Macaca fascicularis: one gene and its partner. The protein of the gene in region 2 binds, or shares a complex with, the protein of the main gene of each other region. Links are inferred from orthologs where the notes say so. Each region holds a gene or a part of one and is shown on either strand. Other genes may lie near its edges.

The links. Proteins that work in one complex are often made in the same cells at the same time.
Region 1: TAF7 (region 2) and transcription initiation factor TFIID subunit 13 share a complex: the UniProt entries of both Homo sapiens proteins name them as parts of the TFIID basal transcription factor complex. The link is inferred for Macaca fascicularis from reciprocal best matches to the Homo sapiens genes TAF7 and TAF13.

What each region holds. Positions count from the first base shown.
Region 1 is NC_088375.1:125,372,609-125,376,578, reverse strand, and holds the start of transcription initiation factor TFIID subunit 13, read right to left. Parts: upstream 2,801-3,970; 5' UTR 2,739-2,800; coding exon 2,712-2,738; exon of another isoform or gene 2,538-2,711; coding exon of another isoform or gene 2,537-2,537; intron 1,950-2,536; exon of another isoform or gene 1,852-1,949; coding exon 1,773-1,851; intron 1-1,772. UniProt on the Homo sapiens protein: The TFIID basal transcription factor complex plays a major role in the initiation of RNA polymerase II (Pol II)-dependent transcription.
Region 2 is NC_088380.1:147,784,561-147,788,684, forward strand, and holds TAF7 (transcription initiation factor TFIID subunit 7), read right to left. Parts: upstream 2,788-4,124; 5' UTR 2,057-2,787; coding exon 1,007-2,056; 3' UTR 501-1,006; downstream 1-500. UniProt on the Homo sapiens protein: The TFIID basal transcription factor complex plays a major role in the initiation of RNA polymerase II (Pol II)-dependent transcription.

The DNA of each region.
Region 1 (3,970 bases), on a different chromosome or scaffold from region 2:
TGGTGGCTCATGCCTGTAACCCCAGCAGTTTGGGAGGCTGAGGCAGGAGGATCACTTGAGGGTAGGAGTTTGAGACCAGCCTGGCCAACATGGTGTAACTAGTCTCTACTGAAAATACAAAAATTAGCTGGGTATGGCTGGTCATGGTGGCTCAGGCCTGTAATCCCAGCACTTTGGGAGGCCGAGTTAGGCAGATCATCTGGGTCATGAGTTTGAGACCACCCTGGCTGACATGGGGAAACCCGTTTCTACTAAAAATACAAAAAATTAGCTGGGGCTGGTGGCGAGACAGGGTCTCACTCTTCTATCACTGGGGCTAGAGTACAGTGGCATGATCACAGCTCACTGCAACCTTGAACTCCTGGGCACAAGTGATCCTCCCACCTCAGCCTCCTGAATAGCTGGGGCTATAGGTACACGCCACCATGCCCAGTTAATTGCAAAAAAAAAAAAAAGATATACTGACCCTGTAGTTTCAAGGGCATTTGGGAACTGCTCACATATAACCCCGCCTAAATAAACCATATTCATAAATCTGTGTTGCCTCATCTCTCAATACTTAGATATAACTTTACATAAAGGACCCAGGACTGGAGATGGAGAGCACATTCTCATGCTGTGTTCCAGGGCTTGGCCTGTACCATCAGTAGTAGCAGCAGCTCTCCCTTCCTCTTGTTGCCAAAAAGGGTCAAAAGCATCTACTGAGGGGGTAGGATGCAGAATCAATACATTATAATCTCCATGTCATTATTTATTTTGCTTATTTATTTATTTATTTTGGACACAGGGTCTGGTTCCGTCACCAAGGCTGGAGTGCAGTGGCGCAATCTGGGTTTACTGCAACCTCCACCTCCTGGGCCCAAGCCATCCTCTCACCTCAGCCTCCAGAGTAGCTGGAACTACAGGGGCGTGCCACCATGCCCTACTAATTTTTGTATTTTTTGTAGAGAGAGGGTTTCACTATGTCGCCCAGACTGGTCTTGACCTCCTGGGCTCAAGCGATCTGCTTGCCTTGACCTCCCAAAGTGCTGGGATTACAGACGTGAGCCACTGCATCTAGCCTCCATGTCACTCTAATGTCTTACACTATTCACCACCTTCTTCTTTTTTTTTGAGACAGAGTCTTGCTGTGTTACCCAGGCTGGAGTGCAGTGGCATAATCTTGGCTCACTGCAACTTCTCCCTCCTGAGTTCAAGCGAGCACGTCTGGCTAATTTTTGTATTTTTAGTAGAGATGGGGTTTCATCACATTGGCCAGGCTGGTCTCAAACTCCTGACCTCCAGTGATCCACCTGCCTCAGCCTCCCAAAGTGCTCGGATTACAGGCGTGAGCCACTACACCCAGCTGTTCACCACCTTCTTACTTTGTTCATAGCCTTAGTCCAAAGCCCAAGCCCCAACTCACTTGCTACTCTCCCTCAACACCTGGTGCAGGATCCATTAGTATCTGTGGCTTACAGTCAAAGAAGCCTCTCTTTCTACTGCTGCAAAGGCAAGAGGAAAACTAATGGAGGTATGTTCTTCTGCCCTAAATTAAAACACGAACTACATTTGCTCACCTAAAAAGCAATTTATACACAGACACACATACACACACATATAACTGGGGTTAGGATTGGTACTATCTGATTCAAAAGCTAAACAGAATTTGATAGGCTAGTCTGAGAATATTGTCACTACAGGGAAACATTCAAAGCAATAAATGTACTTGGAAAGGATATGTCCAAAAGTTTTCATCATCTATAACAAAATCATTGTCAAATACTACTTACATTCTTTAGAAAAAAGCCTCTTTCTTTTACCCTGTCCACCTTCTGCACCTCCTCCAATTTCTTCATTTTCTTCCTCAAACTAGAAAACGTATATATAGAAATGTCAAATAATTGCCTTGCATTTGATATTTTAATAATAACAATGTTTTTTCCTTTTCAACAGATAGGCCAGAAAGCCTAAAGGAAGCAGAAAAAAAAAAAAAAAAAAAAAAAAAAAACACAAAACCTTAGCACGTAAGCAGCCTAGGTATCGAGTCCAATTTCCAACTCATCCAAAAATGGCTTCTACAATGTTCCTAACAAATAATCCTACTGCTTCTACGTGTAAGAGTTACAATGACCATAGGTTTTATTTTTAAACAACTAAGGTGGCCTATTGCTACTGTTAAACAGTTGATACTGAATCAAAGTCTACCTTTGTAGACTTTCAATTAAGCAAAACTAATATTTACTAAGCATTTGCATATACGGTGCTAAAAACGTTCCTTAAGTAAGCCCGTAACCCTATTTTGTAACAAGAAAACTGATTGTCAAAGTTAAATAACTTGCTTAGAGAGAATGGAGATTTTGAAATCCAGGCTGTCTGACTTTCAATGCATTCTTTTCCCATTACTTCACAGTAAGTACAGTTTTGTTAACAATTGAACTGTTGGTTCATAGTGAGCGCTAATAGATGTTAGTTTTGACGTCTGATGATTCTGTAAGTGTTTCAGTGTCTGGCAAATAAAGATCAAAATCAAGGGGAAAGGGGTCACAAAACCTACTCTTTCTTCATGTCCTTCCCCACTTTCTAAAATGATCAATCCTTAGGGAGTGAAGTCCCCGAATTCTGTCGGCTGAATTGACTAAGGCAAGCAGATCCGATCCTGAACTCTGCCTCCGCTACTGAGCCCGAAGGAGTGAAGAAAAGAGAGGTTCTGGACACAGACGGTCACTCACGGTGGGGTCTTCTTCCTCATCTGCCATCCCACTAGCCCGCCAACCCACAGCGCCCCGCCGGCTGGTTCTCAGCGGGTTACGCTACTTCCGTCGCCTCACTTCCGGTGACGGGCGGGGCTGGAGCTGGGCCTAGCTGACTGAGGCCTGCGGAAGGACGGTGGTGCTTTCCGGCCTAGCGGCGGAAATGCGACAGTCTTTAGCGGAGGAGGCCGGAGCTCCTCCCTGTAACACTGAAGGAATTGAAAACTAACAAAGAAAAGGAAATCACGGGCTCCGTGGGATGTATCTCGTTGTCACCCTAAATTTGCTACTGCGCATTGAATCACGCCTTCCTGTTTGGGGACTGCGAAGCTATGGATCGTAGGAGGGCTAGCCAGCGGTCCTTTATCTGACATAAATGCTTTTAAATCATTTTAAAGAGTTGTGGTTCCACTGTTTCTAAGCACTATGTTAATTACTGGGGATACTGTGCTTCACCACAAATTTCCAAGAGATGGTGTCCCAAAACTAAGCATTTAAAATTTTGTGAAGGTTTGTTTTTGTGTGTGTGTGTTTTTTTTTTTTTTTTTTTTTTTTGAGACCAAGTCTCACTCTGTCGCCCAGGCTGGAGTGTGCGGTGGCGAAATCCCGGCCCACTGCAACGTCCGCCTATCGGGTTCAAGCGATTCTTCTGCCTCAGCCTCCCGAGTAGCTGGGATTACAGGCGTGCACCACCATGCCCGGCCTCATTTTTGGTTTTTTTTTTTTTTTTTTGAGACGCAGCCTCACTGTCCCCCAGGCTGGAGTGAAGTGGCACAATCCGGGTTCACTGCAGCTTAGACCTGCTGGGCTCAAGCCATCCTCCCACCTCAGCCTCCAAGTAGCTGGGATTACAGGCACACACCACCTATGCTCGGCTAATTTTTGTATTTTTAGTAGATATGGGGTTTCGCCACATCACCCAGGCTGGTCTGGAACTCTTGATCTCAAGCGATCTGCCCCCCTCGGCCTCCCAAAGTGCTGGGATTACAAGTGTGAGCCACCGTGTCCATTGGGGAAGGCTTTTGGTCGGAACAATGGTTGGGAAAACCACAGGCATTGGAAGGCCAGAGCTAGGGATATAAAATATGTGTCCTACAGTGTAACAGATGATGCTACATAAAGAAAATCCCGCAATACACACGATTTCTGAATGTCCTGCTGAACATTCGGTGAGTGAAAAGTAGTTATGTGAGGCTTGAACCTATCTTTGTTAATAAACACAAAGCGGCTGGGCGCGG
Region 2 (4,124 bases):
GAAATTTGGTACCGACTTACTTTATGAGCAATTTTGATGAAATGACATTGATAAATGACCTCAGTTCTCAGATTATTAATTATAAGAACTCAACTGAAGAAAAATAGAAATAAAATCTTAATCCAAACCAATGGAATGATTCATTGGACTGCACTTGATAACCACTGCTTTGTTTCCAACATTTTGTGCAGGTAGATTTAGTAAGCTTTTTAAAAAAGGCACGAAGGCCTTCATCTACAAAAATTAGGGTAGTTTAAGAAAGCTCTGTATCTAATGTTTCCCAGCTTTCAAGTAGATCAGATAGAACTGGAATCTTAATATGATGCAAACATGACAATTCCCAATTTCTTTACCCCTGCTGTGTTGCTTTTTTTCATAAACCAAACTGCCTCTACCTGCAGAACTGGATCAAATTTCTTAGTCACTAAACTCCACCACAAAACCACCTCAAAAGGGACCTGACTCCCACCAACCATGAAAGAACAAGATACACTACAAAGTGAAAAACAGATGCTTTTATTTATTGTATTGTAAACAACTTAATAAAATTTGCATCTCTACATATGGGAAACTGCTTTGAGTAACTGGGAAAACAGCTATTGCATGGGAAAACATATGCAAACTAGCATCACTGTCTCTAGACTAGGTTCTTCTTATTGATCTCATGTCATCATAAGGCAGCAACAGCAGCTTCTAGAAAATGGAGAAACAGCAAAGTCCTGCAGTGGAGCTATAATTAAGGTTGAACCATACATTCCACTAATCCTGCAACTTTCCTACTATCATTTTTCTGCCTATACAATCCTGCTTCTTATAGGATGAACACCTAGCAAAACAATGTAAATTTGCTGAAAAACAAAACTATAAACAAATGAAAGAACTTAACAGAACACACAGCATTAGAGGGACTAGGAAGTGCAAGGTGTTAATATCCAGTACAAGTAATAAAGCCAAGAATTTTCTAATGCTGATCAGTCTGAACACTGAAATTAAGAATCAGTTCTTTTTACTTCTCTAGGAGTGATTCTAGCTCTTCTTGCAAAGAGCTGAGTTGCTCCTTTTCTCGGTCTTCCTTTTGTTTGAGCTCATCCAGTACAGCCTGAAATCTGTTCTTGAGAGCCAGATTTTCCACTTTCATGATGAGATCCTCTTGTCGTTTTGCCCTGTCCTGGGTCTCTTGGAGCTTGCCTTTCATGTTGTCAATCTGCTTCTGAATTCCCATAACCAGCTGATTGGTTCCCTCATTTTCCTGGTGCTGTTCATCTGATTCATTTAGCTTGTCCTGTAGTTGTCTCTCCAGATCTTCCTCAGTGTCAATGATGTTTATATCTTCTTCATCTTGATGCTGGGTCTCATCTTCATCCTCACTGCTGCTGCTGAGGTCATTGAATATCTCCCGAAGCTCATCATGTTCTAATGAGTCATGGCCCTGCCTGTGACCAGACATTCCTGGAGAAGAGATATCCAGGCCTTGATTTTCTGCCTCCTTTGTTTCATCTTCAGCAATTATTTCCCACCGAGTACTAACAGCTTCAGCATCTGTACTCAGCAATCGTTTCACTTCTTTTTCCACATCTGGAGATTCAATATATTTCTTCTTTGCTGTCTTCCGGAACCTTCTCTTCCTGACATTCTTCAGAGGCAGAGTAATTCCGTGGTTCCAGATAAACTTTTTCTCTTTGTCCTTATCCTTTTTCTTGCTTGCTTTAGGATCAGTGCTAGCAACTGGCTCCTCCACAGGTGGATAGAGATCACCATCAACTGTGGATACAAGCATCTGACAGATATCAGCTGTCTTGTAAAAGGTTTTCTTATCAATGGTTTTCAAGCTTTCCATAACACAGGGCAGGTCTACCAATTTTGAGGCCAATGGAACACGGTCCACTCTGACGATTCCATGACGCCCATCAGGATGTAACTCAATTGTCAGTCTGTCCTTGAGGTTGACATGACCAGACTGTACTGCTCTTCTCACAGTAGAGGCATATTCTGGAGGCAGACGTAAGATAAACTGGCTCTCCAGTTCGTGAGGAGCATCATCTTTGCTTTTACTCATTTTTATTTCTTTGTGACTCACTTCTCCAATAAATGATGGTTACCGTAAAAAGTTCCAGCTACTGCAATAATTTAAAACACCAGTTCGCTATGAATTGAAATATTTTAATTACAAGAAGTTCTCTGTAGATCAGCAGCTTAGCGTCTATTTTGCCTTCGTTTTTATTTAAGCTCCAAGTCTTTTCTCTAAATATGCTGTGACCAAATACCAGTCGTTAACACAAAGGCTTATTCACAGACTTAAGTTCATTAAATCAGATGCAATGCCAAGTCCCAACCTCTAGGTGCCGCTGCCCGACAACGCGGAGACAGCTACCTAGCTAGGAAGCAGGAAAGCAAATGGCGGCTCCCGCGGAACGGTTTTCGGCCCAGAAAGGCCAGCAGAGATACTCTCAATTTACAAACTCTCCCGGAACAGACACTCAAAACATCAGGGCTCAGTGAGCTCTCTTCGCCTCGGGTACTTACAATCCAGTGACGATTATAAGTTCAGTTTCACCGGGCCGGAGCGAAGGGAAGAGGAGGCCGCAAGGAGCAAAGCGGGAGGCAGCCAAGCGTCTCCTTGTCGTTTCCTTAATTCTTCCTGCCGCTTGGCAGAGTGATCCACTATCGATTACTGATGAAAGCCCAGGATGGGCAACGCGAAATCTTGCCGAGAGGCGCAGCTCGGAGAACCAGACCCGGCACCTCGCCGGCCCTCCGTTCGACCGCTTGCCCAGAGAAAACGGAAGTGCTACGTCACGACGCGGGGCGGGAGGTGGATGTGAGTGACAGCCCCTCCGGCCGGAAGGGCGGAGCCCCGGCGCGCGCAGGCGCAATAGCGCAATTACGCTGCCCAGCGTGAAACTCGTCTTTTCGCGAGAACTTGCTTTTCTAGGATGAAAATGATAGTGTTTTCGAAGAGCTGTTGGTTTCAAACTATTTAGCGCTTGGAAGTTACAAGAAAGACACGGATTCGTCCCCCGCTAAGCCAGCACTTTTAAGGGATCGCTGTGGGGCCGGATGGCTTCTAGACTTCCGGGTGATTCCGGGAGATGGGGGACGCCTGGCAGTAAGCGTCTTTGCTTCTGGAAACATCTCGGATGCTTCCTAGGGTCTAGCCAATCTGGTGCCAATACAAGAATGTGTAGCTACTATACAATGGATTTTAAAGAACCCAAATCAGTGGAGTGAGGAGGACATGGAGCTCACTATATAATTCTAAACCTCTCTTTGTTTGTTTGTTTGTTTGTTTTGGAAATGGAGTCTAGGCTGTCACCCAGGCTTGAGTGTAGTGGCACAATATTGGCTCACTGCAATCTGCACCTCCAGGGTTCAAGCGATTCTCCTGCCTCAGCCTCTTGAGTAGCTGGGATTACAGGCACCTTCCACTACCCCAGCTAAGTTTGGTATTTTTAGTAGAGAAGGGGTTTCACCATGTTGGCCAGGCTGGTCTCCAACTCCTGACCTGAGGTGATTTGCCTGTCTTGGCCTCCCAAAGTACTGGGATTATAGGTGTGAGCCACCGTGCCTGGCCCAAAGTCTATATTTTGTTTAATATAATTCCCTGTAGGGGAATTGTGCCTCTGGGTTTCCTTCTGTTCTGTAATACTCCTGAGGAAACAAGGGTGATTCCTTTTTATATGCTTGATTTAGATGTAAATGTAAGCAGAGAAGGAAGTGTTCTTCTGCAAGCACAGGTTCATTTTGGACAGAATTGTCTGATAGACTGAGCATCTGGTTAAAGTAGACATAATTGAAGTATTGTTTCCTGCTTCTCATGTACAAGTAATTTTAAATACTTTGACTTTTTTTTTAACTCCACCTCTACTATTTTGCTGTTTTGTGCTTGTCTTTTCTTTGGAGGGTCAGGTATTCATCAACACATATTTTTAGTATTTTGACATAACTGGGTAACAGTTGGTACTTATTTCTATTTATTTCCATTTATTTTTAAAATATCTGGTAGAGCATCAAGGCCATTAACATTTAATTTCTATCCTCTAAAATATTACCAATTGCCCCTAAATTTAAGAGAATTCTCTTAAGATGTAATTAACATTTCCAAAATTCACTTTATTCCTGTATGA